7 linked regions of the Oryctolagus cuniculus genome follow. The protein of the gene in region 3 interacts with the protein of the main gene of each other region in a biochemical or structural test. Links are inferred from orthologs where the notes say so. Each region holds a gene or a part of one and is shown on either strand. Other genes may lie near its edges.

The links.
Region 1: the proteins of PRKN (region 3) and ATXN3 form a complex in vitro, tested with the Homo sapiens proteins (4 studies listed by BioGRID and IntAct, with this or other methods). The link is inferred for Oryctolagus cuniculus from reciprocal best matches to the Homo sapiens genes PRKN and ATXN3.
Region 2: of the proteins of PRKN (region 3) and MFN2, one has a biochemical effect on the other in vitro, tested with the Homo sapiens proteins (2 studies listed by BioGRID). The link is inferred for Oryctolagus cuniculus from reciprocal best matches to the Homo sapiens genes PRKN and MFN2.
Region 4: the proteins of PRKN (region 3) and ABL1 form a complex in vitro, tested with the Homo sapiens proteins (2 studies listed by BioGRID, with this or other methods). The link is inferred for Oryctolagus cuniculus from reciprocal best matches to the Homo sapiens genes PRKN and ABL1.
Region 5: of the proteins of PRKN (region 3) and PINK1, one has a biochemical effect on the other in vitro, tested with the Homo sapiens proteins (12 studies listed by BioGRID, with this or other methods). The link is inferred for Oryctolagus cuniculus from reciprocal best matches to the Homo sapiens genes PRKN and PINK1.
Region 6: of the proteins of PRKN (region 3) and MFN1, one has a biochemical effect on the other in vitro, tested with the Homo sapiens proteins (3 studies listed by BioGRID). The link is inferred for Oryctolagus cuniculus from reciprocal best matches to the Homo sapiens genes PRKN and MFN1.
Region 7: of the proteins of PRKN (region 3) and SEPTIN5, one has a biochemical effect on the other in vitro, tested with the Homo sapiens proteins (2 studies listed by BioGRID). The link is inferred for Oryctolagus cuniculus from reciprocal best matches to the Homo sapiens genes PRKN and SEPTIN5.

The regions. Positions count from the first base shown.
Region 1 is NC_091451.1:37,338,595-37,342,614, reverse strand, and holds part of ATXN3 (ataxin-3), read left to right. Parts: intron 1-502; coding exon 503-588; intron 589-980; coding exon 981-1,047; intron 1,048-4,020. UniProt on the Homo sapiens protein: Deubiquitinating enzyme involved in protein homeostasis maintenance, transcription, cytoskeleton regulation, myogenesis and degradation of misfolded chaperone substrates.
Region 2 is NC_091438.1:156,486,647-156,490,666, reverse strand, and holds part of MFN2 (mitofusin-2), read left to right. Parts: coding exon 1-11; intron 12-1,100; coding exon 1,101-1,254; intron 1,255-1,481; coding exon 1,482-1,549; intron 1,550-2,089; coding exon 2,090-2,211; intron 2,212-4,020. UniProt on the Homo sapiens protein: Mitochondrial outer membrane GTPase that mediates mitochondrial clustering and fusion. Mitochondria are highly dynamic organelles, and their morphology is determined by the equilibrium between mitochondrial fusion and fission events.
Region 3 is NC_091436.1:6,000,056-6,004,571, forward strand, and holds the start of PRKN (E3 ubiquitin-protein ligase parkin), read left to right. Parts: upstream 1-1,471; 5' UTR 1,472-1,599; coding exon of another isoform or gene 1,600-1,606; intron 1,607-4,516. Other genes in the region: PACRG (parkin coregulated gene protein), read right to left, coding at 883-1,038. UniProt on the Homo sapiens protein: Functions within a multiprotein E3 ubiquitin ligase complex, catalyzing the covalent attachment of ubiquitin moieties onto substrate proteins. Substrates include SYT11 and VDAC1.
Region 4 is NC_091432.1:233,496,698-233,500,717, forward strand, and holds part of ABL1 (tyrosine-protein kinase ABL1), read left to right. Parts: intron 1-1,365; coding exon 1,366-1,455; intron 1,456-1,692; coding exon 1,693-1,839; intron 1,840-3,245; coding exon 3,246-4,020. UniProt on the Homo sapiens protein: Non-receptor tyrosine-protein kinase that plays a role in many key processes linked to cell growth and survival such as cytoskeleton remodeling in response to extracellular stimuli, cell motility and adhesion, receptor endocytosis, autophagy, DNA damage response and apoptosis.
Region 5 is NC_091438.1:150,126,670-150,129,899, reverse strand, and holds the end of PINK1 (serine/threonine-protein kinase PINK1, mitochondrial), read left to right. Parts: intron 1-1,839; coding exon 1,840-2,100; 3' UTR 2,101-2,730; downstream 2,731-3,230. UniProt on the Homo sapiens protein: Serine/threonine-protein kinase which acts as a sensor of mitochondrial damage and protects against mitochondrial dysfunction during cellular stress.
Region 6 is NC_091435.1:100,466,443-100,471,246, reverse strand, and holds the start of MFN1 (mitofusin-1), read left to right. Parts: upstream 1-1,880; 5' UTR 1,881-1,962; coding exon 1,963-2,147; intron 2,148-2,874; coding exon 2,875-2,993; intron 2,994-4,804. UniProt on the Homo sapiens protein: Mitochondrial outer membrane GTPase that mediates mitochondrial clustering and fusion. Membrane clustering requires GTPase activity. It may involve a major rearrangement of the coiled coil domains.
Region 7 is NC_091452.1:27,463,182-27,467,667, forward strand, and holds the start of SEPTIN5 (septin-5), read left to right. Parts: upstream 1-1,586; 5' UTR 1,587-1,858; coding exon 1,859-1,939; intron 1,940-2,163; coding exon 2,164-2,232; intron 2,233-2,536; coding exon 2,537-2,633; intron 2,634-2,774; coding exon 2,775-2,861; intron 2,862-3,075; coding exon 3,076-3,199; intron 3,200-3,296; coding exon 3,297-3,431; intron 3,432-3,716; coding exon 3,717-3,834; intron 3,835-3,968; coding exon 3,969-4,070; intron 4,071-4,306; coding exon 4,307-4,403; intron 4,404-4,486. UniProt on the Homo sapiens protein: Filament-forming cytoskeletal GTPase. May play a role in cytokinesis. May play a role in platelet secretion.

The sequences.
Region 1 (4,020 bases), on a different chromosome or scaffold from region 3:
TTTAATATGTATGTGTGTTATTTATTGATTTAGCAATGTAGCTGAACAGATACACTTTTTAAAAATCATAGCTGCCTTGGGGCAGCATCGTGGGGCAATGGGTTAAGCCACCGCCTATGCCAGTCCCAACTCGGATCCAGCTCCCTGTTAATGTACTGGGAAAGCAGCAGAGGATGGCCTAGGTGTTTGGGCCCCTGTCACTCCTACAGGAGACTGGATGGGGTTCTGGGCTGCTGGCTTCAGTCTGGCCCAGCCCAGGCTGTTGGAGCCATCTGGGGAGTGAACCAGCTGACAGATGATCGCTCTCCTTTTCTCTGTAACTCTGCCTTTCAAATAAATAAAGTGAAATCTTTTAAAAAAATAGCCTTTTAGGTAAATTTATATATGAAGTACAATTGCTTGCTCAACTAATATGGTTACACTACTTAAATTTGGAATAATGATTTAGTTCATGGAAAGTTGCTGTTTTTTGTTTGTTTGTTGTTTGTTTGTTTTTTAACAGGTTATAAGCAATGCCTTGAAGGTTTGGGGGTTGGAACTAATCCTGTTCAACAGTCCAGAGTATCAAAGGCTCGGAATTGATCCCATGTAAGATTTGTTTTTGTTTTTTTCTACATTTCTTTTCCTAAATTCAATTTTTTTTAAATTATAATTTTTTAAAGGAGAAAAACACGTTTCCCACCTCCCCTTTTGATGTCCGTGAGCACCTGCACATCGCTGGGCCTCCCAGACTGCGGTCGTAGTGCGGTGCCAACCCTGGCTGGCGCCTCGGGCGGCTTGTCTGGGCACCGCATGTCTGAGCTGCTGCACACTGGCTCACACCATCGTGCCGTTCTTCAGAGTCAGTGGCACAGAACTGCAAATGCAGTCCTGCATTAACGCAGATTGTGTATAATGCTTGCTAGTTGGCAAAATAAATGAACATAAACTCCTGAAATTTCAGCCTAATATTGTATATGTGTGTTTGTTTTGCTTTCCAGAAATGAAAAGTCATTTATATGCAATTATAAAGAACACTGGTTTACTGTTAGAAAATTAGGAAAACAGGTAATATTTCTCTTCCTTTTATCTTTTTTCTTATTCTGTCTTCCATTTGAAGTAGAGGGGATTGGTGCTTTTAAAATGAGGAAACTGACCAGTAATGTGTGTGTGTGTGTGTGAGGCACAGTTTCAGTTTTAATAGAAATTTCCCATTTTAAAAGATAGCATCAGTTTCCTTTATAAATTTATGTGTGACAGCTGTGTACAATTTAGGTATATCACAGGGGAAATTTCATATTTAAGGTAATACAAATATCATTACCTTTAAGTGGGATTTTATGTAATGAATATGTCCTGTCAGTTAATTATTAACTTTTAGAGATTTGTGTTTAGCATCATACTGTCACAAAGTCTGCGACAGTGTCAGGCACAAATGAAAACATTCAGCCATGTTTCCTTGATGTAACAAGATCATTCACAGAATTCCAAAATGCCATATGATAAAAATATATGCATATAAAGTAATGTCCATTTTAGAAAACTATGGAATATGTCTTGAGCAGACTTTTTTCTTTAAGCAGAATCATTTAAAATTCTTCTTATTAGAATTTTGAGTCTTTGAAAGAGGGCTGTGTGAGATTTGGCTAGTTTAATAGAAAGGAATGAACTGTTGATCATGCTACCACATGGATGAGTCTCAAAACTTGTTGAAAGCTTTGTTTCCTTTTATATAAAAGACCAGCCAAATTCAAACCAATCCTTAGGAACAGCAAGTGTCTGAACCAGCAGTTGCTGGCAGGTGAAGAGGGCAGGGAAGAGAGAGTCGGCAGTGGGCAGTGGCCACAGAAAGCTGGGCAGGGATGGACACGTTCACCTCCTTGGCTGTGATGGCTTCATGGGTGTATACAGACGTGAAACTTTTCAAGTTACACATTGGAAATAGGTTCAGTTTTTGCAGGTCAGTTACATGTATCAATAGAGCTGGTTAAAAAAACACAGTAAATAAAAAACAAGAAGGTGAAGTCAAGAAAACGTACATTGAATTAAAACATTAAAATAGAATTCAAGACAAAAATCTTACTGTAAATTTTTTTTTTTTTTTTTTTTTTGGACAGGCAGAGTTAGACAGTGAGAGAGAGAGACAGAGAGAAAGGTCTTCCTTCCATTGGTTCACCCCCAAATGGTCGCTATGGCTGGCGCACTGCGGCCAGCGCACTGCACCGATCCGAAGCCAGGAGCCAGGTGCTTCCTCCTGGTCTCCCATGCGGATGCAGGGCCCAAGGACCTGGGCCATCCTCCACTGCACTCCTGGGCCACAGCAGAGAGCTGGACTGGAAGAGGAGCAACTGGGGCAGAATCTGGCTCCCCAACCGGGACTAGAACCCAGGGTGCCGGCGCCGCAGGTGGAGGATTAGCCAAGTGAACCGCGGCACCGGCCCTTACTGTAAATTTTTAACTCTGCTACCTGGAAGCAGATTCATCTTCAGTGGGGGTTCCTCCTAAGGAGCTCTGAGCAGGTCAGGAGGTGGAGGGCAGAGGCTCAGCCTAGGCACCTGCCTGAGTGGGTGTTAACATGGGGAGAAGCCAGGCAGGGCACTGCCAAGGTAAGTTAACTTCTGGGTTTTATTTATACCTTCAAATAAATTATGATCCAGTGTTCTTTTCCTGTATAATTGCTAGACGTTTAGGTCTGAAGACTTAGATTCCACAAATTTCTTTGTGTTGATTTGTTAAATTTTGATCTTACTATTTTAAGAGGTTCTTCAAAATCAAAATTTCCCATCATAACTATTTTTATCTTTGACAAGTATAGAAGACATCCAATTTTACTTTATTGTCTGTGGTTCTAATTTATAGTTTTGTTTAAAATTGCATTTTTCACTATAGACTCTTCTCCGAGAGACCTGTATAATGAGAGAGACGACTGCAGTGTCAGAATCCAGCAAAAGTCATTGGTTATGATGTTGACAGTAACTTTTGAAACTTTTTGAATCTTGTGGGTTGAAGTCGGATCCTTAAGAGATAATGTCTAGATCGGGGTGGAGAACATCCAGCCCCCAGGCTCCACAAGACTGGCAAAATCACTGGGTCTGGCCTTGCCAAGGCAAGTGCAGGCAGCACTCAAAAAGCAATGAATCTGTGGCAGGCCAACTTTTGAGTCAATAATTTTGTGTGGTCCATGAATATTGTTAAAAGTATCCGAATAGCCCTTGACAGAAAACAGTTCCCCACCTGGCCCTGGTGGTGATGTTAATTATATGTGACAGTGGGTTAGTGATCTTTGTAAAATGAGTTGGTGACTATAAATTGTCTTCTGGAAATGGCTGACCACCTCAAACTGGAATATTTTGACCACAATTATCAGTAGTGGGAAAATTTTATGTAGTGTCATTTCTCTTCCATATCAGTGTGATGTGATTAGTAATGTTGGACTGATGGTTTGAAAAAAAGTTCAATTATCGCTATCAGTAAGAAGACTTTAAAGTACATTTGGTCCCTAACTTAGGATGGTTCCACTTACAAAATTTTTTCATATCTATTCATTTTTACTTATTTAAAAGGTAGAGAAACAAACAAAAATAAACAGAAAAAGAAAAAAACATTAAAAATAAAAAGCAGAGAGAGTTCTTTCATCCATTTGTTCACTCCCCAAATGGCTGCCATAGCCTGGGCAGGGCCAGGCTTGTGCTAGGCACCAGGAGCCAGGACTCATCCTCTGCCTCCCACAGGCATTGACAGGAAGCTGGATCTGAAAGCAGAGGCGGGAGTTGACCCCAGACACTTGGATGTGAAATGTGGATGTTGCAAAAGGCAGCTTAACCAGCTGCACCACGGTGCCTGCCCCACTTAGCATTTCGTAATTTTTTGATGCTGTGAAAGCTATCCATGTTGAATAGAAGCAGCATATTGAACGCTGGTCTTTTCCCCAGGCTAGCGATATGCAGTGCAGTCCTTTGTCACGGTGCCAGCCAGAGGCAGCAGGCTGAGGCTCCCAGACAGCCGTGAGGTCATGAGGGTAAACCCTGATTCTCAGTGCCC
Region 2 (4,020 bases), on a different chromosome or scaffold from region 3:
ACATGGAGGAGGTGGGTGCCGCGGGGCAGTCTGGGGGCTGTGGCCCTGTGAGCACTGGCCCCGGTGGCCGCTCCCTGCGCTCCCGGGCACAGGTGTTTGACTTCCCTGACTTCCTTTCATTGCCAAAGATTCCCCAAGTGTTCCCCAGGTCTCCGCTGGCTTTGGAAACGCTCCCCCACCCTTTCCTAGGTGGGTCCCTCAGTCAGCGCTCTCCCCCAGGTCGGGAAAGCAGCCCCAGCGCAGTGGTGGGCTCTGTTTGGGGCCAGGTGCTCCTTTTGTTCATAGGTTCTCAGTACTGACCTGGGCCGCGTAGGATGACGTCAGGAGAGAAGAGCAGAGATGGCTGGTTCTCACTGACAGTCACAGCTCACTTTATGAGCGTGAAAAGAAAGAGAGGGCAACAGATTAGCAGTGATGGCTTTGCTCGATCAAGTACGCACACCTGCGGGTCAGAGGCCACGTTCTGGCCTGCACGGGGCGTTGAGACTGCGGTGGGCTTCTTAGCCCTCCTGGTGACGCATCTCCTCCCCTGTGAGCTGGGCGTCCCGAGGGTGAAATCTGTTGGAAGCACCTGACGCTTGGTGGGCGTCTCCACTCGGCTCTCAGTGGGACCCCAGGATGTGGGAGCGAGGAGGGACTTTCTGTCTAAGGCCCAGGGAGGACTCGGCTGGTCAGAGCGCGAGCCCGGGCTTAGATTTCTTGCCCTGCGAGTGCCTTTCCTTCCGGGGCCCCCCAGCGAGGCAGGTGGGGAATGTGGGAGCGTCCCTGCTGTGTACACGGGTTCCTGCTGTGTACACGGGTTCCTGCTGTGTACACGGGTTCCTGCTGTGTACACGGGTCCCTGCTGTGTACACGGGTTCCTGCTGTGCACACGGAGAGTATCTGGCAGGCCGTGTTCCAGGAAACCCCCGGGGAGGACACGGGTTCCCCCAAGCACGGGGCTGGGGAGCAGCGGTGGTGGGAGACCTCTCACTGTGTGCACCCTGGCGCCTTTGAACCTCGAGTTGTGTGACTACACTGTATTCTAGAGAGGCGGTCCAGGGAAGGCTGCGGCTCCGTCAGAAGAGCCGGTCACATACACTCGCCTGTTTGGGCTCCAGGTGCGGCGGCAGCACATGGAGCGGTGCACCGGCTTCCTGGTGGACGAGCTGGGCGTGGTGGATCGCGCTCAGGCCGGGGACCGCATCTTCTTTGTGTCTGCCAAGGAGGTGCTCAATGCCAGGATCCAGAAGGCCCAGGGCATGCCCGAAGGAGGTAACTATGGGAACAGACAGCCTCCTCTTCCCTGACGTCTGAGGGTCTGGGCTCCAGCCAAGTCAGTCGGTAGAGAGTCTCTCTAAGGACAGGAAGCTGCAAGACCTGGAGCGAGGCTGTCTTGGCTGTCCTGCCGGTGTCCAGCCAAGTGCCTGCTGGCGGCGGCTTTCGGGGTGGTTTCCACGTGGCCTGTTTATCTCCCCACCGATGCCGTACTCTCCTCCCAGGGGGCGCTCTTGCTGAAGGCTTTCAAGTGCGGATGTTTGAGTTTCAGAATTTTGAGAGGAGATTTGAGGTGAGTCCTTTGGTGCTGGTGTCTGGTAATCCTGTGCCTTCTGAGCTCTCCCTTGCTGCGTCCAGGCAGTGAAAGGCAGAACCTGGCCCTTGGCTACAGGCCGGCGGCCCCCACCCCCCTCAGTGCCTGGCCCTTGGCTACAGGTGCCGCCCCCCCCCCCCCCCAGTGCCTGGCCCTTGGCTACAGGCCAGCGGCCCCCACCCCCTCAGTGCCTGGCCCTTGGCTACAGGCGCCGGCGGCCCCCACCCCCCTCAGTGCCTGGCCCTTGGCTACAGGCCGGCGGCCCCCACCCCCCTCAGTGCCTGGCCCTTGGCTACAGGCGCTGGCGGCCCCCACCCTCCTCAGTGCCTGACCCTTGGCTACAGGCCAGCAGCCCCCACCCTCCTCAGTGCCTGGCCCTTGGCTACAGGCCAGCAGCCCCCACCCCCTCAGTGCCTGGCCCTTGGCTACAGGCTGGCGGCCCCCACCTCCCTCAGTGCCTGGCCCTTGGCTACAGGCGCCGGCGGCCGCCACCCCCCTCAGTGCCTCTGCCTGTTCCAGGAGTGCATTTCTCAGTCTGCGGTGAAGACCAAATTCGAGCAGCACACGGTGCGGGCCAAGCAGATCGCGGAGGCCGTGCGTCTCATCATGGACTCTCTGCACATCGCGGCTCAGGAGCAGCGGTAAGAGCCCAAGGCTGCGGACGGGCAGAGAGGGCTGCCGAGAGGTGGTGCCCTCTGCCCCAGCCCAGGCCGCCAGGCCGTGCCCGGCTGGCAAAGCGCAGTCCCTGAGCTCCCGTCCAAGGCCCTTCCCCAGCTGCCAGAGCGCCTTAGAGCCACATGAACGGCCTGGCGAGGAGGGCGGCTGGGTGCCTGGGCCCCGTGGCCTGTGCAGCACAGTCGTGGGTGTCAGAGACCTCAGTCTGCACCTGTAGAGCGCGGCGGCTCTTCTCAGAGCCTGGACACGTGTTGTGAAGCCAACATTTTTACGAGAAACTTAAAATACAGCAAATAACAGAGAATGATATAGTACACTTGCTTCTTCCAACCAGAATTGACAATGTTTGCTTTATATTAAGTTATAGCAGTCTCACCTCCCACTGAAAAAGTACTCTTTTTTTTTTTTTTTTAAACATTTTTTTTTTCTTACTTGAAAGGTGGAGTGATAGAGAAGGAGAGAGAAAAGCAGAGAGAAAGGTCTTCCATCTGCTGGCTCACTCCCCAGATGACCACAAGGGTGGGGCTGAGCCTGGCACTGAGGTCTCCCACGTGGGTGGCGCGGGTCCCCTGCACTTGGACGTCTCCATTGCTTTCCCAGGCGCATTAGCAGGGAGCTGGATGGGAGCAGAGCAGCTGGGACGCAAGCCGGCACACGTGGAAGCCGTGTTGCAGGTGTGGCTTAGCCGGCCATGCCGCAGTGCCGGCCGCCACACGCTCCAGAAAAAAATTTTTTTTTGGTATGAGCAAACACTTATTTTACTGCACTTCAGTTATAAGAAAATAAGATTTCTAAGTGACTCAACCATAGGCAGTCCTTTGAAAGGCGCCAGCTCGCTGTGTCACTAAGATGGACCTGCTGGAATCTGATTGTTTTAAGTAAACAGAAGCGGGAAGAGTCGAAGGTTCGCTCGGATACAGCGTCAGGGTCCGCACTCTCCCAGCCGTCTCGAGCTGTGTCCTGGACGACGGGTGGCGGTGCCTCCTCGCTCTGTCGGGGGTCACTCTGGGCAGATCACTGCACTGGCTCTTTTCACCCGTTTTCTCCTTGGTCCTGGTTGGTCAGCGACTTGGTTATTTTTGCCAGGCTTCTTGGTTTTGAGTTTATGAATATTAATTAGTCCCAAGGTTCCACGTTCTGGGAACATTTCAGCAAAATTGACACAGTTGTAAGATTACCGTAAGCTGTATATTTACTGTTCACTTTAAGTTTTTGCAGGTGTCCCATGTATGGGATGGGGGGCATTTTCTTCTGGGTTGTTTCTGCTCTCTCTGCCTTCACACACCCCACTGCAGCGGGCAGCTGCCTGTGCACCCCCTGTGCAGCTGCGTGGACCCTGCGGGAGTCAGGCCTCGGGGCAGCTGCTCTGCGTGGACCCTGCGGGAGTCAGGCCTCAGGGCAGCTGCTCTAGGGTGGAGAGTCAGCCTTTTGGGTTTTACTTTGCTGCTCTCCACCACAGCTGTGCCCCGTTCCTCCTCCCAGAGGCGCTCCCTGTGGGAACTCCCATTTCCTTAGCTCTCGCCGGAACTTCAGACGTGGTCACTTGGGCCAGACTTCCCGGGGGAAAGTAGTGCTGCTTTTTATCGTTGTCGTGAGCGCTAGTGAGGTTGAGCTCTGGAACTTGTCCTAAAGCCCCTTCAGCACCTCCCCACTGTCCCTCCCACATCTTCCCGCAAGTGCAAGACCGCGAAGTGCAGTGGTCGCTGCGGTGTCTCCCTCCTGTCTGGGAAGGGGAAGGCCGTGCGCCGGATGTGTGGGTGAATCCTTGCTCGGGC
Region 3 (4,516 bases):
CTGGCCTGAAGGTCCCCCGCTATTCAGGTCCATTCATGTACTTTAAGGAGCTGGTTTAGGAAGATGGCACGACATTTGCAACAAAGAGGTAAAACAAATAATGCGACAGGACAGCACCACTCTTCATTTAACAGACGACTTAGCGGATAATGCACCAGATCCTCCCAGCGGGTGAATTTCATAGATTTGAATCCTGCACTTACTATTTGATTATTCGTGGCTACCTGTTTTCTCAGCAAAACCTGACTTAGGGTAGCAAATTAAAAACTATGTAACAAATAAGAAGGTTTTTCAAAATAACCTGGTGCGTATTGTAAATATTTTTTCTTAATAGTATTGAGAATATAATTTTTTTATTACCGCAAACTATAGCAATGTGAATGGTATTAAAAGGCAGAGACACCTGAACTAAAGCTTAGATTGTTTCAAAGATCTTTAAAAGGCCTATGAGGGACAGTTTCCCATTTTGTAAGGTTAACCACTTTGTAAGAACGCTGATGGAGTAAATGCTAGGGTTCTCTAAGGAGTCGAGGTTAAACAGAGGCGTCCTAGTGTGGCTCACTGGATGGGTTTCTGTTCCCAGCTGTCTGTCAGCGCCTGTCAGCAGCCGCAATTTGACGATTTCTAAGGGCCCTCGGCGGAGCGGGGCTGGTTTGGATGGGTAGGGGCAGGGGTGCTTTGCTTCGTGTCACCAGCTCAGGACATACTCTGGCCTGGCCCAGCAGCCACGAGGGCCTGGGCAGATGCTCACCCGTGGGCGCACGCCATCCCTGGCCCGGGAGCCTCGGCACCTGGCCTGACCTGGGCCATCCCAGGCCCATCCCAGGCCACCAGCCTCTACCTCTCGCGTCCCCGGCCTCGGAGCGAGCGAAGGGCACTTACGACTGAGTTTTTCATCATGGCTTTGACCGTGAAGCCCTCAGACACCAGGGCGTGAGGCTGGTGCACCGGGAGCGGCTGTTGCGCCAGCAGCTTGGTCCTCTTCGGCATCTTGTCTGGGCATTTGCTTAAGCTCAGGGTCTCTTTTTCTGCCACCATCTTCCTAGAAAGTGTCTTGTTCTCCTACAAAAGTGTAGTCAAACAGTCAGTGGGTTTTACGGCTGTGAGCAGGAGGTCGGGAACAATGTGGAAAGGCGCGTAAATGGTAGAATTTCAACCCCTCGTGGTGCCCAGGTCGATCCCGATGTTTGGCAGCTCCTAGGTGAAGGGAGTTTAGGGAGGCGAGGGGCGGGAAGAGGGCAGGACCGTGGCTAGAGCTGCAACAAGCTTCCAAAGGTGGGCCTCTCCGTTGCTAGGCGACTCGTCAACACGGCGGGCCGCAAGCCCCGCCCCGCCGTGACGTACGTTTCCTGGGCCTTCTGCCGGAAAGGGCGGCGGGCCGCCGCAGGCCTGAGGAGAAGCCACGCCCTCAAACTACGACTCCCAGGAGGCCCCGGGCCGCCTGCGCGTGCGCACTGCGACGGCCTGCCGCCGTGGGGGAGAGGGGCGGGGCGGCCTGGAGGATTTCACCCCCGGAGCGCCACTCGTGGGAGGCGCTGGCGGGAGCCGGGGAGCGCGTAGGCCCCTTCCTGCCCAGCAGCGTGCTCCTGCCCAGTGACCATGATAGGTACGTGGGTGCCTGCAAGGTACAGCCTGTCTGCGCCGCCCCCCGCGCCCCGGCCGCCCGGGACAGCCCGGACGCCCGGGGGCCGGCAGGTGACAGCTGTCAGCGGCGGAGAAAGTGTCCGCGCCGTGGTCAGCCCGCGCCGCCGGGCTCGGTTCCTCAGGGCCTCGCTGGGGTCCAGGAACCCGTGCGTGTCCTCCGCCCCCTGCCCGGGGCGCCCGCCGAGCGCGGCCGATGGCCCCGGGGCGGCCGGGCCGGGTCCGCCGGGCCGGGGCGCTCCGTGCGGTGGCTCCCCGCGGGCCGCGGCGGCCGCCGGCCGCTCGGAGCGGACGCGGAGGAAGCCCCGGCGAGGCCGGCGGGGAGCCGAGGAGACGCCCCCGGGTGGAGCTGGCCTTCCTGCTCCCTCGGATCTTTGGCGTCGAACTTCTGAGGTGAACGCCCGAGTGTGAATAGCGCAGAGACTAAGTCTGCCTTTCGCAAAAAAAAAAAAAAAAAAAAAAAAAAAGAAAAGAAAAAAGAATGAAGTAAGGAAAAAAACCCACAGAAATGACGTAGGTGCGGCTTTGTGAATGAAACTTCGGAAGTGGCTGTTAGGGTCGTGGCTCCACACTGCCAGGTGTAGATTAGCCAGCGCCTCTCGGGGTGGCGAGGTCGAAGGTCACTTCAGGGGCCATCCAGGGCTATTTAAAGGGTTTCATTGCTCTGGGTTAGCTTTGGAAGGTTTAGTAAGAGTCGTGGTTATTCTTGGCAAGTGTCACGGACAAAACACTTAGGTTGCGTGGAGAATCTGAGGTGGTTTACAAACAGTTCTTTCTTCCATGACAGCTGTTGTTTAACATGGTGCAAGTGTGCCTTGCAACATAAATGATAAAGTCCACAGTCCCCCTAAGAAACCTGCATTACCTATACAAACCATCTGCGCCACGTACAGTAAGTTGTTTTATTCCCTTAGATGCATTAACTAATTCTGTCAGTGTGTACATTTCAAGAAAAATCAGAAATGCCGGTTTTGAAGTTGGGTGTATTGAACAGTGTTAAAGGTAGGTAAAAGCAACCAAAAGGAAGCCCTGGCATGATGGATTTCGTTTTCGGGACTACCCTTTGGAGCCATGAAATACATCATAATCTTTACTCACTGATCAGTTGGAGAGCAAAACATTTATGTATTGGGAGATTTTCTTAAGATAACGGTAGCAGTGATTCTCGGAGCTTCCCCTTTAATACCTATGTCCTCCGAAACTGCTACACCCTCCTTAATGCAAATCATACTCTGCCACTTTATTTAAATTCTGCCTTACTTTTGAGGGAGAAGAAAAAGATAGGTTCCTGGAAAGGTAGGAGCAAGGGGACAAATTGTTACCCCAATCCAATAAAATTACTTTCCTTTAACTTTCCCATCTTGGCGTGGACTGTTTCAAAAGTGCTTACATTTCCCCCTCACGTTATGATTGATATGGTAAATGACCTGACCCAGACAGCTACAGAAACGTAATTCAATTGAAGTTGGTGAAAAAATTGTGCCTTTGTGAGCAGTATGGAGAAGGACTTCAAGAATATATGAGACGTATTGGAAAAGTTTAAGAACGTTCAAATTAGAATGTAATTTGACTACTTCTATTAGTAATATATTCCTACCTTCTTCAAAGGACCTTTGTATTTAAAATGAAACTTAATGGTGATATTTGTGAGATACCCTAAATGTCCTGTAGAACTGGATTTAGTTGTTTAAATAATAAATGTTTACGTGGTTGTAACGTTTTCAGTACTGATGTTAAAATTCAGTGTCTTACACTTTTGAAAGATTTTTGATTGATAACAAATCCAATAGTGAGAACACAGTCTCTTCTATACCTTGTTCAACTTAACATCTCAAAGAACTTACATGTCTGCATATACAGATCTACCCCCACAGTAATTCCTGCTTAGTCTTTTAATTATAGGCTACAATAGTTATGTGCATACTCTCCAATCAGCTATATTTTGTGGCCATATTTTTCCACTTACATAGGTAAGCATAAAGTAAAAATCTTAGTACGATTTCTGAATGATTTTGAAGTTTGCTAGATTTTTCCAAATTGCTCTGAAATAACTTGCCCTATTTTACACTCCTGTCTAAGCCCTCTACTATCACAGCAAGGTAGCAAGGAGCTGGTCTGCTCCTCTTAGGCTGAAAATTACCGAAAGACGTCCTTTCCAGGAGTGTCTCAGCTGGCAGCAGCAGTCCCTGACTGCATTTCCCCTGCCACCCACCTCCCTCTCACCCAGGCCCTTCAGTGCACAGCTGCTCCGCTGTCCTTGCTGGCCCCCTCTCTGGCAGGGTTCATAGCAGCACCTATTTGCCCACTGTGAGCCATCACATACTTTTCACTTTGTCTTCCTGATAGATGAAAAGCAGTATGTATTTTAATTTTTAAAATGAATTTACAAAGAAAAAAAGGCCACTCCTCGTATTATAATGCCTTCGTTTCACAAAAGCAGACCCAGTAATTGAGCACTTATTTGTGTCTGGTACAGTGTATGAAACATAAAAGTGCCCTGCCCTCGAGAATGTGCAGTCTAACTATTTGCCCATAAATATTTTTTTAAAGCTTGCACACTTATAGTAAATTTTAAAGTCTCAGAATTTATATTTCTAGTTGAATGTCCTGTGTACTGCTACTTGCCATTGCCTTTTAATAATTTTACATAAAAAATGACTCTTAAGTCATGAGGTCCAATTGTGCCAAAAAATAGGTTTTACCAAACTTTACACGGAAGATTTCATGTAATTATATGCAATTCTTCTTTGGGTCCCAAGTTCTAAGATGATGACCATATGGCCTTTACAATTTTTAGCCTGCTTCTGAGGATTGTTTAGAAGTCTGTGCTTTTTACTTCTTATGAATTTCATGGCTTCATTGCTTGAAAATGATA
Region 4 (4,020 bases), on a different chromosome or scaffold from region 3:
CAGAGAGCTGGATTGGAAGTGGAGCAGCCAGGACTTGAACCCACGCCCATATAGGATGCCGGCACTGCAGGCCGTGGCTTTACCCGCTACGCCACAGCGCTGGCCCCTGGATGTATATCTTTTTCACTTTCTTTAATGCTTGTGTGTTTGTTCATACATTGCGCACAAACGCTGCCTACCCAAACCTGGGTTTCTCCTCAGCCCTGAGTGCTGTGCTCGGAGGACCACCCCTCGGGGCGGGACTGCCCCTTCACTTCCGTGCCGTGGCATCACTCGTGCTCGTGTGGGCGTGTGCGCGTGCCTGTGAGTTAGTAGCAGGTGTGGGCTTTCCATGCCTGGGTTTTCAAGTCCCCTTCGCCCTCCTCCTATTTCATTCCATTGAACAATCCATTCATCCATCCAGTTCTCTATTGATGAGCGATTGATTGTTTTATATATTTGTTTGGTCTTTCCATTGTAAGAAAGACAGGAGTGGACATCCTTACACCTGTCCCTCTGCTCCTACACTGGTACTTTTGATAACTGCAGGCATTTTAACTTTTTTGAAAAAGATTTATTTATTTGAAAGGCAGAGTTATAGAGAGAGGGGGAGAGACAGAGAGGCAGGCCTTGCATCCATTGGTTCTCTCCCCAAATGGCCACAACAGCTGGGGCTGGACCAGGCCAAAAGCCAGGACCCAGGAGCTTCTTCCAGGTCTCCCATGTGGATGCAGGGGCCCAAACACGTGGGCCATCTTCCTCTGCTTTCCCAGGCACAAGTTATCAGGAAGCTGCCCTGGAAGCAGAGCAGCCAGGATCCCGGAGCTTGTTCAGGGTCAACCACATGAGTGGCAGTAGCCCAAGGACTTGAGCCTCTACCTGTGCCTCCCAGGAAACTGGATCAGAAGCAGAACCAGGACTCAAACCCTGGCACTGTGATGTGGGCCATGGGCATCCCATGTCACGTCTTAACCACTGCACCGAATTCCTGCCCGTCTGTCATTCATGTTAATTACCCAGTGCCGGCTTGTTTTAATTAGCGTTCTTTACTGATGCGGGCTTCCAACTTGGATAATCAGGAAGTGTAGTCGTTAGCTGCACCTCCCAGAGTGCAGTGGGAGAGTGCGTCTGTGGGTGCTGCTGCGCCTGTCAGCGTCTCTCTGGGCTTGGAGTCCCCGTTCCTGCCAGCATCTGACGCCATCCCAGTGTCTTCATGTCTGTAATAGGACACAGTGGCGATCGTCTGTTTCAGTTGTCACAGGAAACGATGCTAGCAGGGCTTGAGTGCTGCTTCGGTCTCCAGACTGTTCCTGAGGGTGCCGGCCCCGGCCCCCCGTGCTTGCTGGCGCGGCCTCACGGTGGCCTGACCTGGTCTCGTCTGTCTAGGTTGGCAGTGGAGTCCCTCAGACCGGCCCTCCTTTGCTGAAATCCACCAAGCTTTTGAAACGATGTTCCAAGAATCCAGTATCTCAGATGGTAAAATGTCCACCCCCAGGGGGCCTGTGGGTGGGGGGACCAGCGGGGGAGGTTGGCTTGGGGGCGCCCATGTGGGACTCCAGCCCAGGGCCTCGGCTTGCGGCGGGCAGAGGCGTTGGCGTCGGACGTCTGCGCACCTGTGCCTGTGCTGTAGCTCTGTGGAGATGACCACTCTCCTCCTAGTGGAAGAGCTGGCCCGGGGCTGACGCTGCTGGCTTTGTGTTGTGTGTGATTTAGAAGTGGAAAAGGAGCTGGGGAGACGGGGCGCACGGGGGGCCGCGAGCGCCTTGCTGCAGGCCCCAGAACTGCCCACCAAGACCAGAACCGCCAGGAGAGCCGCCGACGCCGCCGACGCGCCCCACTCCAAGGGCCAGGGCGAGAGCGGTACGTCTCCACCCACCCCGCCCCTTCCCTCTCCTGCTCCCGCGGGAGGCCCAGGGAGCGTCCACACCTGGATGGGAGACTGTGGGTGGGCCAGGCACGGAGGGCGGCAGCCAGCCTTGGAAAGGGGAGAGCTCTCCCCGGGGAGTCGCCGAGGAGCCATTGGCTTAGGCTTCGGCAGGTGGTGGGTGCCTGTCACGTGTGGCCCTCGGCACGTGTGGCTGCTCTCCCCAGGCACTCAGGACAGGGAGCGTTGCTGACCCAGCGGGGAGAGCTGCTCTGGGGGGCGCTGGCAGGAGAAGCGCACGGCCGCCGCGGCCTCCTGCTTCCTCAGGGTTCCTCTCGGCCTCCTGTGTGCAGGCTCTGCCCTGAGTTAGTGGTTGCCCCGAGCCAGCAGTCCTGGGTGGGCCAGGCAGCGGGGTCAGCACAGCCCGAGAGAGAAAGAGAGAGAGTGTGTGTGCGTGTGTGTGCTATACATGGCTGCACGAATGTGTGTACATTGCAGTGTGCACCCCAAAATATGCATGACATGAGAAATAAACCCAAAATGTAAGACTTTCTCTCCAGAGCCGGCTAGGCCTTCTTTTCACCCTGCTGTGGAAGCCGTGGCCTGTGGATGCCCTAGGACCTTTGTCCCTCACCCCTGTGTTGGGGGTCCAGGTGGTTGAGCTGTGGGGAGAGCCCCCATGGGAACATGTCGTGTACCTGGTGAAAGCCCAGTGGTGAACGGTCCTGCCCACCTGTGCCCGCCAGAGCCCCTCTGTGGGGCCTTCAGAGGCGCGTTCTCGCCCAGGCCAGGAGGGTTGCAGGCTGAGTCGCCGGAATTCCACTCTGCTCACCCCCCTTCGGCGGATTACGGTGGGGGTCCTCGGCCTTCTCTGACTCCCCACACCGCACTGCCCCGCCCCGAGTTCCAGGGCTGACACTGAATCCCTCCCAGCCACCAGGCAGGGAGAATCCAGCTCCGGGAAGATCTCTTACCCCCCACTCTGGGTAGTTAAGAACCATTTAGAAATGGTCAGAGGGCATCACTGTTTCCCACAGACCAGCGTGGTGGCTGCCCGCCGGGCTACTCCCCGCAGGCAGCACGGCCCCCTGTCCGGGAGCCAGCGTTCCGACGCGCCGTGTGGCCTTGTCCTTGCTGTGAGGGCTCTGCAGGGACGGGGCCAGGCCCTCGCCAGCTCCTGTCCACTGAGGCACCGGGGCCCTCGCCTGGTGGTGAGAGGTTCCAGGCCAGCGGCCGAGCCTCAGCCCCACAGCCCCACGCACCTTTCCTCCCGCAGCGCGGCCCGAGCTTTGCCTGTGCTCCGTTTGAGCCGGCAGCAGCAGGTGGCCGAGCTGGCGGGGCCCCGGGAGAGCGCAGGGGCAGCTGCGGCTCGGGGTCACTCACCGCTTCCTGTGCCTTGCAGATGCCCTGGACCACGAGCCTGCCGTGTCTCCACTGCTCCCTCGGAAAGAGCGAGGCCCCCCGGACGGCGGCCTGAATGAGGACGAGCGCCTCCTCCCCAAAGACAAGAAGACCAACCTGTTCAGCGCCTTGATCAAGAAGAAGAAGAAGACGGCTCCGACGCCCCCGAAGCGCAGCAGCTCCTTCCGAGAGATGGACGGCCCGCAGGAGCGCAGGGGCCCCGGCGAGGACGAGGGCCGGGACGTCAGCAACGGGGCGCCGCCCCTCGCCCCCTCAGACGCCACCGAGCCAGCCAAGGCCCCCAAAGCCAGCAACGGCGCCGGCGTTCCCAACGGGGCCTGCCGGGAGGCCGGGGGCTCGGGCTTCCGGTCCCCGCACCTGTGGCAGAAGTCCAGCACAATGACCGGCAGCCGCTTGGCGGCCGGTGAAGAGGAGAGCGGCGGCGGCTCCAGCAAGCGCTTCCTGCGCTCCTGCTCCGCCTCCTGCGTGCCGCACGGGGCCAAGGACGCAGAGTGGAGGTCGGTCACGCTGCCGCGGGACCTGCAGTCCACCGGGAGGCAGTTCGACTCGTCCACGTTTGGAGGACACAAAAGCGAAAAGCCAGCTTTGCCTCGGAAGCGGGCCAGCGAGAACAGGTGCGACCAGGTGACCAGAGGCACCGTGACCCCCCCGCCCAGGCTGGCGAAAAAGAGCGAGGAAGCCGGGGACGAGGTCTTCAGAGACGCCGCGGCCGACGGCAGCCCGGGCTCCAGCCCTCCCGGCCTGACTCCGAAGCT
Region 5 (3,230 bases), on a different chromosome or scaffold from region 3:
TACAAAGGCCCCATACAGAGAGCTGGAAGATTTCATTGGGGGGGGGGCCGGGGGGCGGAGGCGGGGGGAGGGGGAGGGCAAGCCACTAAATCAGTAGAGTTCTCAAATCCTTTTTAAGATTTATCTATTTGAGGCCGGCGCCGCGGCTCACTAGGCTAATCCTCCGCCTAGCGGCGCCGGCACACCGGGTTCTAGTCCCGGTCGGGGCGCCGGATTCTGTCCCGGTTGCCCCTCTTCCAGGCCAGCCCTCTGCTGTGGCCAGGGAGTGCAGTGGAGGATGGCCCAGGTGCTTGGGCCCTGCACCCCATGGGAGACCAGGAAAAGCACCTGGCTCCTGGCTCCTGCCATCGGATCAGCGCGGTGCGCCGGCCGCAGCGCGCCGGCCGCGGCGGCCATTGGAGGGTGAACCAACGGCAAAGGAAGACCTTTCTCTCTGTCTCTCTCTCTCACTGTCCACTCTGCCTGTCAAAAAAAAAAAAAAAAGATTTATCTATTTGAAAGTTAAAGAAAGGGAGATCTTCCACCTGCTGATTCACTCCCCAGATGACCGCCAACAACCAGCACTGGGCCAGGCCACAGCCAGGAGCCAGGAGCTGCTTCCAGGCCTCCCATGTGGCTGCAGCGGCCCAAGCACTCGCGCTATCTTCCACTGCTTGCCCAGGCCATTAGCAGGGTTGGAAGTGGAGCAGCCGGGACTCAAACCTGTGCCCATTTGGTGCCAGTGTCACAGCCTGGGGCTTTACCTGCTACCCTGCAGCACGGCCCCCAGAGTTCTGGAATTCTAACAGTTCTTTTCTTGGCTTTAATTGCCTTGTCACTGGGGCAGGTGTTGTGACACAGTGGGCAGTGTCCGCCTCCCGCGTCGAGTGCTTGGTGTCAGTCCAGGCTTCTCTGCGCCTGACAGCTCCCTGTAACGCATCCGGGGGCAGCAGATGATGGCCTGGCTACTCGGGTCCCTGCCACCCACATGGGAGACCCAGCCGTGGGCCTAGGCTCCCAGCTTTGGCCTGGCCTATGCCTGGCTACTGTGAGCATTTGAGGACTGAATCAGCAGACGGATCAGTCACTCGTGTGTGTGGGTGTGCTCTCTCCTCTCTGTCACTCTGCTTTCAAGTAAATAAACACAAGAGAGAGGCACTGAGAGCCAAGACAGATCTTCCTTCCACTGGTTCACTCCCCCAAGTGGCCACAATGGCCGGGGCTGGGCCGGGCCACAGCAGGAGCCTGGAACTCCGTGTGGGTCTCCCATGTGGGTGGCAAGTTCTTGGGCCACCTGCTGCTGCTTCCCAGCACTCGGGCAGGGAGCTGGGTCAGCAGTGGAGCGGCTGGGACCCAAACCAGCGCTCCTGAGATGCTGGCGTTGGCAGGCAGCAGCTTAACCTGCTGTGCCACTTCGCCGGCCCCCAGACAGGTCTTTTTTGAAGTCACTAAGGGGGAAAAGGATGCAGTTTTCAGAAATGCTTGACAATGGGACTCGTGGCTGATGGAAGCAGCCAGACCTAATCAGACGGGGACACTGCAGAGCAGATCTGGACGTTGTGAAATCAACATTGACGGAATACAGTCAAGTCTGAGCTGGGGCCAGCCTGGTGCACAGCCGAGGGACGCCTGCCACCAACCGCTCACGGCCCAGGGGAGGTGTCGGTGAAGGTTTAATAGTTAACAGCCCCACCTGGAGTGGTGAGGCCACACCCACCCCGGCGCACGTACACGTGTGCTACCCCCCCCCCCACCCCGTGCTGCACACATGGAGGGACAGCAGCCAGGATCTGTCAGCGGGGAGAGGGTAGGGCTGGGCAGCTTCGGGCTCCCGAGCCTCAGTTTCCCTTCCTGTCGCAGAGGCCGTCCGCCCGAGTTGCCGCCAACGTGCTGCACCTAAGCCTGTGGGGGGAGCAGATCCTGGCGCTGAAGAACCTGCAGCTGGACCGGGTGGTGGGCTGGCTCCTCCAGCAGTCAGCCGCCGCCATGCTGGCCGGGAGGAGCTGTGTGGAGACGAAGATGAAGGTGCTCTTTCTGGCCAGCCTGGAGTGTGAGGCGCTCTGCCAAGCGGCCCTGCTGCTCCGCGCATGGAGGGCGGCCCCGGGGCAGCTCTGCGCATAGCTGGGGACGACCAGGGAGCCTGGCAGCATCTGTGTGGTGCAGGTCTGTGCATGCTGAGGGTGGGCTCCTGTGTGAGCGGGGAGGGGGTCGGAGATGGATGGCAGGGGGCTGGGCAGCCACTGGGGAGGCCATGTTCAGAGAGTGGCCTCACCCCAGCTGTGTGACTCGGAACGGGCACTGTGAGCCGTGTGCACCTTGGTTCTGGCTAACAAAACTAGACACTGCTCTAAACGAGGGTGTGGTCAGCTTTCCACAGAGGGTCAGACGAACAAACACACAGGTGAACAGCAGGGCGCAGCCAGGCTGCGGAGGGTCCACACCGAAGGCAGCAGCTGTCCTGGCCAGTGCGGCTGTGACACTGGCCTCACCCACACAGGCCACCTGGGCAGAGGCGCACACTTGCATGAGGCAGTGTATTCGGTGGGAGGCCTGCAGGGGCTGGGGGTCGGGTGGACCACGCCCGCAGTCTGTGTCAACAGCCCGGTGTGTTGGAGAGCGCATTGCTCCTCCTGCTACCGCATGAATCCTGCGCAGCGGCAGGGAGAAACGCCGTGGGAGTTAGCTCTGGTGTTCTAGGCGTGCTGGTGCCCTACAGTGCAACATTAAATGCAGTTACAACTGCAGAAACGAGTGCGGCTGGACTGCATGTTGCTTCCGTTCTTACACCCTGATGTGAGAAGACTTCGCAGGGCAAGGTCACCGGGGAAGACTGCGATTTATGTGTTTTCTGGGAACACAGCTATTGCCTAAAGCAAGGTGGACGTCAAGGTCAGCCAGGCAAGCTGCCGCTCGATTTTGTATCTCAGCGGTCAGCACCCCGGCCGTGTATCCGCCCTTGCAAAGCCAGGACGTGGCCATGTCGTGGCTGAGGAGCAGAGCTCCGTCTCGGGCAGCAGTGAGAAACCAGACTCCGGAATGCAGCCGCTGGCGACAGGGACAGCACGGGCCGCTGGCTCGGGGGCAGCTCTCCTTTTATTTGCGACAAGCGCCCACGCCTGCAGGGTGTCACCCGGTAGCGCAGGCTGGAGAACCACACTGAAACAATTCCCTGCCCCCACCCCCATCTCCCGCTGAGGTAAGGCCGTGCGCTTCCCACGGCTTAAAAAATAAAAACCCCACCCCGACAAACC
Region 6 (4,804 bases), on a different chromosome or scaffold from region 3:
GCTGGATCGGAAGTGCAGTAGCCAGGACTCAGACTAGCGCCCATATGGGATGCTGGTACTGCAGGCGGCAGCTTTACTAGTCCCAAATCTCTTAATATTAAAAGAGAGGGAGGGGGAGAGAGAGAAAAGACATCCCAGAATATTTTCTTGAGCCTTGAATAGCAGCAGCACTTTGATAGGGTTGTGAGAAACAGTCTGGGGTTGTGATGCTGACCCCAGATTTGCAGTTTAAGGGTGTAAGGTGTCTGGCGCATAACAGATCTTCCCAGGCAGACGAATCAATTTTTTTTTTATTTTTTTTTTTTATTTTTGACAGGCAGAGTGGACAGTGAGAGAGAGAGACAGAGAGAGAAAGGTCTTCCTTTGCCGTTGGTTCACCCTCCAATGGCCGCCGCTGCAGCCGGCGCACCGCGCTGATCCGATGGCAGGAACCAGGATCCAGGTGCTTTTCCTGGTCTCCCATGGGGTGCAGGGCCCAAGCACCTGGGCCATCCTCCACTGCACTCCCTGGCCATAGCAGAGAGCTGGCCTGGAAGAGGGGCAACTGGGACAGAATCCGGCGCCCCGACCGGGACTAGAACCCGGTGTGCCGGCGCCGCAAGGTGGAGGATTAGCCTATTGAGCCACGGCGCCGGCTCAGACGAATCAATTAATTCACAGGCTTTTATTAGGATTCCGCTCCCGGGCAGGGTTCCCCGGTCCCAACAGAGCAACAGAGCGGGGGCCGGGGAAGTCGTGCATCAGATATTGGGAGAGCTTCTTTTATAGATTCAGGGCATGGGAGTTAAAGGTTGAGGCGGGTCTGATCCTCATGGTTGACCTTTAGGTACCCGCAGGGACCCTGACAAGGACTTTTCTTCCCCGGAAGTACAGGTAGGGACTTCTCCATTCCTGGAAGTACAGGCCTTCCTCCTTGCGGATCCCAAAGCTACCAAAGGGCAGCTTAACTACAAAGTTTAAGGATAGTAGCCAGGGCCAGCACTGTGGCACAGCAGGTAAAGCAGTTGCCTGCAGTGCTGGCATCCCATATGGGAGCAGGTTCAAGTTCCAGCTGCTCCAATTTCAATCCAGCTCTCTGCTATGGCCTGGGAAAGCTGCAGAAGATGGCCCATGCCTTTGGCCTTCTGCACCCATGTGGGAGATATGGAAGGAGCTCCTGGCTCCTGGCTTCAGCTCGGCCCAGTCCCGGTTGTTGCTGCCATTTGTGGAGTTAACCAGCGGATGGAGGAGCTCTCTGTCTCTCCCTTTCTCTCTCTGTAGCTGTGCCTTTCAAATAAATAAATTTAAATAAAATAAAAAATAAAAACAGTAGCCAAGGACACACCAAGTTTCAGGTCTGACGTGTAAAGTAATTACACACATACAGGGTGAGAGGTACCCCAGAGAGGCAATCACACAAACACAGATGTCCCTTCTGTCTCACGACGTCCTAACCCTACCTCACTCCACCTCCTTCTCCCTAAGGCAGCCATGACAGTCAGCTACGCCTAAGATGGACAGAGCTTTAGGGAACTTCGAAGTGAGAAGGGAGGAGGAAAGGAAGTTGCAGGGTGGAACGAACCACTATCCTGCCAAGAGCGTCCCTGCCCATAACAAGTTTTGCCTCTGCCCTCAAGAGAAATGGCGCCGGCATAGACGCGTTTCCGTTCACGGAACCAAACAGAATAGGAGAGGACCAGGGACCGGAAGTGACCGCCCTTTTGCCACTCCTCCTGCCTCCAGTTAGCTTATATCCTCTTTGGGGAGGATGAGGCAACCTGAGAGCTTGGATCGAGCTGTGGTTGCTGAGTGACAGTCGGAGTTGGGACCGTGTGAGTGTCAGCTGCTTCGACCGCTGGCGGGTTCGCGACTCTCGGGGTGACCTTCGAGCGGCCGGGGACAGGGGGCGGGGAGCCGTGAGCGGAGCGCTCTGTGACGAGACGCTGCCGCCGCCGTCCTGCTGGAAGGGAGCGAGCGAACCGGATGGCCAGCGGGGCCGGCGGCCGGCTCAGGCCCGCGGAGCCCACGATGCTGGAGCCCGGGGGTGGTGGTGAGGGCGGCGGGCCGGGCCGGGCCGGCGCGCGTGGGGCGGCGGCGGGGTCTGGCCCCGAACCTTGCGGGCGAGGCTCCCGCGGCCGTGTGTATGGCGTGGAAGGCCTCTGCCCAAGGTAGGTGTTCACACCGGCCGAACCGGGTCGTTGCCCACACCCTGCTTAGCCCACGCTTATCCCTTCGCGCCGTCCTCTCTTGACCCTCTTGGCAAGATCTGCCTTTTTCATGAGCCACATTCCACACGGACTAGGATTAGACTGGGGCGTAATGGTTTGTCCTTGGTGTGTGTTTTTCTGAGAAGCGGCCAGGGGCAGAAAAACTTCAACATTCACCCAAGTTTTTGGTTCTGCGGCCGGAAGCGTAAGCCTTGTCTCCGGCTTTGTTGTGATGAAAATGTCTTTCCAAACGTTAGTTTTACTTTGTGATTTTGGATTCTGGGTCTTTCCTCTGCATATCCCTTTCCACCCTCACAGAGCTCCAGGTTGAGAAACTTAGTTATTGTTTGCGAACTTTGCTTCTTGGTAGCTCAGTTCCCTGAAGTACTTAAAACTCACTGGGAGTCACAACTTCAACCACAATTAGTTTCATATTCACCAGAGGGAAATAAAGTAGAAACTTGGGCTAACAAATTTCGTTTATTTTAGTGAAGTGGCTTTGAATAGTAGTCTTTAATTGCCCGACTAAAACATTTCTCCCCGAAAAACAACTACCTAAATATATTTTGGCAGTTTAATTGCCTAATTTATTCCATTTGGGAGGTAATGACCTAGACGGTGTTAATCATTTACATGTAATTATCACTCTGTAATTTGTGCTTTTTTAACTTTATGTTTCTCCCTTTAGGAGCATAATGGCAGAAACTGCATCTCCACTGAAGCATTTTGTGCTAGCTAAGAAGGCAATCACTACAATCTTCGACCAGTTACTGGAGTTTGTTACTGAAGGGTCACGTTTTGTTGAAGGTTAGTTCTTAAGTTCTTAAAATGACTACTAGTGAAAATACATAAAGGTACTTTATTCTTTGAACTGTAGCTATTGGGTGCACACACATATAGGGCACTATGGTGAACAGTATGAGGGATACCAGAATGAGGAAAACCCATTTCTGTCCTACAAGAGACGAAGATTAAATGTTATTAATCACAACTAAGAAATAAATGCTTCTAAATAAAGTACTGTTTTAGCATTTTATTAGTAATTCGTTTACTCATGTCATCAGTAAACAGATTGTAATCATACTCACTTGAAAGATGAAAAAAACCAGGATGAGGAAAAAGTAAAGCAGGTTACCCAAGATTATACAACTAGAAAATGCTCAGATGAAAAACTCAGGCAGCCTGCGGTTAGCCATTATATTTGTCTCTCCAGCTTAGCTAAGCCAAGACCTCAGATCTATCTTTCAAGTAAGGCTGAGTTGCAGAAGGAAAAGGGCAAAAAGGAATTTTCATAAATTGAGTGTAACTGTTGAAACAGTTGAAATAGCAACAATGGGCAACGGTGGAGAGGAATGTCTTCCTAGGAAATGTTATTTTAGTTTTTTTTTTTTTTTTTTTAGATTTATTTTATTTGAAAGAGTGACAGAGAGGTGCCCATATGTGTCTGGCATTGCAGGCGATGGCTTAACCTGCTGTGCCACAATACTTTCCCTGTAGATAACTCTTGAAATTGTGTGTCCAGCAAGTATACAATGAAAAGGGAAGGATTCAGGAAAATTCTCAAGTGACAATGGGGAAATATTTGGTAGGTTGGTAGAAAACAACTTTTTTTTTTAAAAAATTATTTATATATTTGAAAGGCAGAATGACAGAGTGAGATCTTCCATTTGCTGGTTCACTCCCCAAATGGTCACAATAGCTGGGACTGGACTATATACAGGTCAGGCTGCTGAAATGTCTCCTGCGTTTCCCGTGTGGGTGCCAGGGGCCCAAGTACTTGGCCCATCCGCTGCTGCTTTCCCAGGCACATTAGTCCATAAGTTGGATCAGAAGTGTAACAGCTGGGGCTTGAACTAGTTCCTAACCCACTGTGCCACATTGCTCAGAATCAAACTTTTGTTTCCTTGTTCTTCCTAACCCTTCTATTGCTAGATTTGAATTCCTGTAAAGCTGGGATTTGCCTGGTTGTGTCCCTAGCACCAAACTTGACACAATTCCAGATTTTGTTGCTGAATGAGAAAGAAAGTACTGGTAGAATTTTTGAGTTTCTACTTTGGAAAGAATTTGAACTAACACATAACATTTACAAAATTTTGTTAAAAAAAATTGATGGGGATGCAGCACTGTTGCATAGTGGGTAAAGCCACTGCCTGTTCCTGTTCTGGCTGCTCCACTTCCGATCCAGCAACTTGCTAATATGCCTGGGAAAGCAGCAGAAGGTGGCCCAAGTGCTTGGGCCCCTGCACCCATGTGGGAGACCTGGAAGAAGCTCCGGGCTTCAGACTGGTCCAGCTTGGCCGTTGCCAAGTGGAGTGAACCAGCTGATGGAAGATTTCTCTTTGTCTCTTCCTCTCTTTCTCTGTAACTCTGCCTTTCAAGTAAAATTAATCTTTAAAAAAAATTGGTAGGAAATTAAGATGAAGTTAAATGTAATATCTTCTGTGTATTAAATAAGCACTGTGCTAGGAGTTAGTGAAATGGCAAATTTGATTTTACTGGTTCTAAAACATCAGAAAAATGTGAAAGAGACAAAGCAGATAAGAAGAATATCGAAGAGCAAAAATAAAATGAAAAACAAAAGTGAGTAATGACTTTCAAGACAAGTTTCTCCATTATTC
Region 7 (4,486 bases), on a different chromosome or scaffold from region 3:
GCCTGGAGGGTTCCAGGACCAGGACGGGGGTAGGCACAGGGGCTGTCACTCAGCTCAGAAAGCCCTGAGGAGTGTTGGTTCTGCATTGGGGCCCAGAGGTGGGGTGGCAGGGCTGCCCCAGGGAGTCCAGGATGGGCTTACCAGACCCTAGTAGGTGGTGGGACAGACCCAGTGGGAGTGGAGAGGGAAGACTCTCACCCCTCCCCCGAGCCTAGACCTCCCCAGAGGCTTGAGCTTTGCCAGTGGGGAAACTGAGGCAGCAGGCACACAACAAACTCCGCCAGACACCAGGGCGTGAGGTGCTGAGGCTGTCTCCCAGCCTGAAGCCCCAGCCAGGGCTTGTGTGCTAGGAGGAGAGGGTCCCCTGGGCCAGAGACGTCTGCCGTCTGGACGGTGCTGCTGGGCTGAGGGCTGTGTGAAGTGGACACTGGCAGAGCCGGAGCTGCAGCGGACTCTGGGCTGCAGAGGGCTGGCCAGGGCCAGGGAGCGGCTTTCTGTGGCTGCTGGGGGAGTGGCAACACGAGGTCCACCGAATGAAGGGCTCCCTTGTTCCCCAGCCGTGGGCCTGCCCTCCCCTCCAGGTGCCAGTGGCTGGAGGCCCCGGAGCGGGACCGGGGCCTGGACAGGGGGGCCCAGGCTGCTCTGCCAGGGGACGCAAGAAGGGAGGGTCTGTTTGAGGGAGGTAAGGGCCCCCTGCCGCTTGCATGCCGGCCAGGGGCACTCCGGTCCACCTAGAAGGGTTTGCTGGCAGCGCTCAGGCGTCCCCTGGCGGGGTTCCTGGTGTGGCCACACCAGGGGCAGACCCGAGCTGATGGGAATTCTCCAGCCCTTACTCCTGCATGGGTCAAAGCAGGCGGTGTCCCCAGGGACGGTGGGGGCGGGCCCCACTCCATCATCTTCCATGGGGGTTGCTCTGGGTGGCCTGCTGGCGGGGCTTCCAAGTTTGGAGTTGGACCGAGGAGGGTGACCCTTTCCTCCTCTCCCCCTCCCCCTCCCCCAAGCCGCCGCCGCCGCCTCGCGAGAGAGGTGGGCTCTGCCCTCGCCTTCTTCCCTGCATGGCGGGGAAGACTTCCCCAAATACGCACCCGCGCGCCCGCGCCCGCGCCCGCGCACGCGCATGGATGTTATCACCATGGGAAGGGGAGAGGGTGCGTCTGTGGGCACCCGGGAGGTGCAGCGACACCGCCCGGAGGTTTGCGGACGGCACCTGGGAGGCAAGCGCGGGTGCCGAACGGGGCCCGCTGCACGCGGTTGCGCGTGGGTCCCGGGAGGTACGCCAGCGCCCTCTGGCGGGCGGCACCGCGACAACCACAGACGCCCCCTACCCCCACCCCCACCCTCTCCGCGGGCCCGGGTCCCGCCCGCGTGGGCGTCCCGGCCCCGACAAAAGCCCCACCCCGACCTGCCCGCTGTGCTGACATCCCGACTTGAGGCCTCGCGGGCCCCGCGGGGCTCCCGGCGCACGCGGCGCCGTGGCCGCGCCCGCGCGCTCCGGCGCTCCGGCTCTCCGCCCCGCGGCCCCGATTCCCCGCGGCCGTTTCCCGGCGACGGCGGGCGGGGCCCGGCCCGCCGCCCCCCTGCCGCGAGCGCCGCGAAGCCCCGCCTCCAGCGCGGGTGCGGGAGCCGGGCCTGCCCCAGGCCGCGACGCAGCTGCCGGCGCTCGGGGGCGCAGCGCAGAGGCAGGGGCATGGCGTGGACCGCTGCCACGGGTGGGCGGCATCCCGGCTCCGGCCCTGAGTTTGCGTGCGCGCCGAGCGGAGCCGAAAACCAGGCTTAGGGGCAGTCCGGGCCGTGAGTCCCTCGCGAGTGCCCGGGTCCACGCGGCCGGGCAGGGTCACCAAGGGGGGGGATCGCCGCCATGGACTCTCTGGCAGCGCCCCAGGACCGCCTGGTGGAGCAGCTGCTGTCGCCACGGACCCAGGCCCAGAGGCGGCTCAAGGTGTGTGTGTGCGTGTGTGTGTGTGTGTGTGTGGACGTGGGGCAGAATGTGGGTCAGTGCGTGCGCGCCTGCCCAGCTCAGGACTGTGTGAACCTGGGGACGTGGCGGTGGCTGGCAGGGCCAGGGTCCGCCGGGGGGTGGGGGCTGGGACCCCGCTCCCGGGCGGGGGAGGCTCCTCGCCGCTGGCTATAAATAGCCCCTCTGCTCTGCCGCTGCCATTGCAGCCGCCGCCCCCACGGCTGGATCCGGGCCAGGAGGGGCCGCCTCCCAGGGCCCTGGCCCCGGAGCAGGGGGTGAGTGTTGAGGCTTGGCCTCTTCTTGGGCCCTGAGTGTGTCCCAGGCCAGGTGCCTTATACCCAGAAAGGGAGGACACTTGCCTGTCGCCATCCCCGCACCCGCACATGCAGTCTGGGGTTGGGGGGGAAGGGGTCCTGGTTGAGGTTGGGGAAGGGGGTGTCTGCCCACCTCCACACCTTTGCTGTTTTCACCGACCAGGTACCCCACTGCTGGCACTGCTGTCTCCTCTATCCTGTAGGCAACAGGGCGTTTGGTTCTCCCCCATACGCCCTCACCTGTCCCCCCCTTGCTCCCTCCTAGGACATCGACAAGCAGTACGTGGGCTTTGCCACACTGCCCAACCAGGTGCATCGCAAGTCGGTGAAGAAGGGCTTTGACTTCACGCTCATGGTGGCGGGTGAGTGGGCTGGGCTTGGGGTCCCTGGGCCAGCCAGGCTGCATCCTTGGTGGTGGTGGTGGTGTGGGCGAGTGTGTGTGTGTGTGTGTGTGTGTGCATGCGCAGATCTAAGCTGACCCCTTCACTTGTACCGGTGGGCAGGTGAGTCCGGCCTGGGGAAATCCACACTGGTACACAGCCTCTTCCTGACCGACCTCTATAAGGACCGGAAGCTGCTGAGTGCGGAGGGTGAGTGACCCACGGACCCCTGCCACGTGACCAGACACCCCCCCACACCACGAATGGCACCCTTCCAGGTCCAGCACCCTCTTCCTCAAACAGCATAGGTCTCCTGTGCAGGGTCGACAAGGGGGTGGCCCTGATGGCAGTCAGGCGGTGTGGCGGGGGGGGGGGGTCGGGGTAGCCCTCCCCCCTCCACACAGGGCCCCTCCCCCTCCCCCAGAACGCATCAATCAGACAGTGGAGATCTTGAAGCACACCGTGGACATCGAGGAGAAGGGGGTCAAGCTGAAACTCACCATTGTGGACACGCCGGGCTTTGGGGATGCCGTCAACAACTCTGAGTGGTGAGCAAGGGCCTGGTCCACCCTGCACCTCCCCTGGGAGCCTTCCCTGCCCGGCCGGCAGCCTGGCCTCATGCTGGCACCTTGCCCCGGCCCCCAGCTGGAAGCCCATCACGGACTACGTGGACCAGCAGTTCGAGCAGTATTTCCGCGACGAGAGCGGCCTGAACCGCAAAAACATCCAAGACAACCGCGTGCACTGCTGCCTCTACTTCATCTCCCCGTTTGGGCACGGGTACGGGTGTGCCGCCCCGCTGGGGCGTGGGCGGGGCCAGGCTGGGGGCGTGCGCAGGGGGCGTGACGGGACCAGGCTGGGCGTGTGCACGGGTACGGGTGTGCCGCCCCGCTGGGGCGTGGCGGGGCCCGGGCCGGGCTGGGCAGGGCCAGGGGGCGTGGCGGGGCCAGGCTGGGCGTGTGCAGGGGGACGTGGGCGGGGCCAGGCTGGGCGTGTGCAGGGGGACGTGGGCAGGGGCCAAGCTGGGCTTGTGCCATCACCGTGCCCCCCTCTCTCCACACGCAGGCTGCGGCCAGTGGACGTGGGCTTCATGAAGGCCTTGCACGAAAAAGTCAACATCGTGCCCCTCATTGCCAAGGCTGACTGCCTGGTCCCCAGCGAGATCCGGAAGCTGAAAGAGCGGGTCAGCCCTGCTGGGGCGGAGTGGCTCCCCAGGGACGGGGGGGGGGGGGCGGAGTTGGAGACAGCCAGGGCCACCTGGCCAGCCACTCCAGCCCGCCCCATCCGACAGCCCTGGGTGTCCCTCCACTTCCACAGATCCGGGAAGAGATCGACAAATTCGGGATCCATGTGTACCAGTTCCCCGAGTGTGACTCCGACGAGGATGAGGACTTTAAGCAACAGGACCGGGAGCTGAAGGTGAATGTTCCCAGAGCTCCCGAGGGCGGGGGCTCTGGGGGCCTCCCAGCAGCCAGAAGAGGGGGCAGGTACGGGGCACCTGCTGGAGCCTCGGCAACCGGGGAGGCACTGCTGGGCTTTGGGAGGCGGCGAGAAGCCAGCAGGCGAGGACAGCACGCTGGAGGGGCGCCCCCAGGCTGAGCCTCTCAGGCCTGAGCACCTGCCGGGTGGGCTGAGCCCTTGCTCCCTCCCCCCAGGAAAGCGCCCCCTTTGCAGTCATTGGCAGCAACACCGTGGTGGAAGCCAAGGGCCAGCGGGTCCGGGGCCGCCTGTACCCCTGGGGCATCGTAGAGGGTGAGCTGGGGCCGGGGAGGGTGGGGTGGGCTGGGGTAGGGCCCGGGAGGGGCAGGTCCCCTCGGGGTGGGCGCTGGCCCACC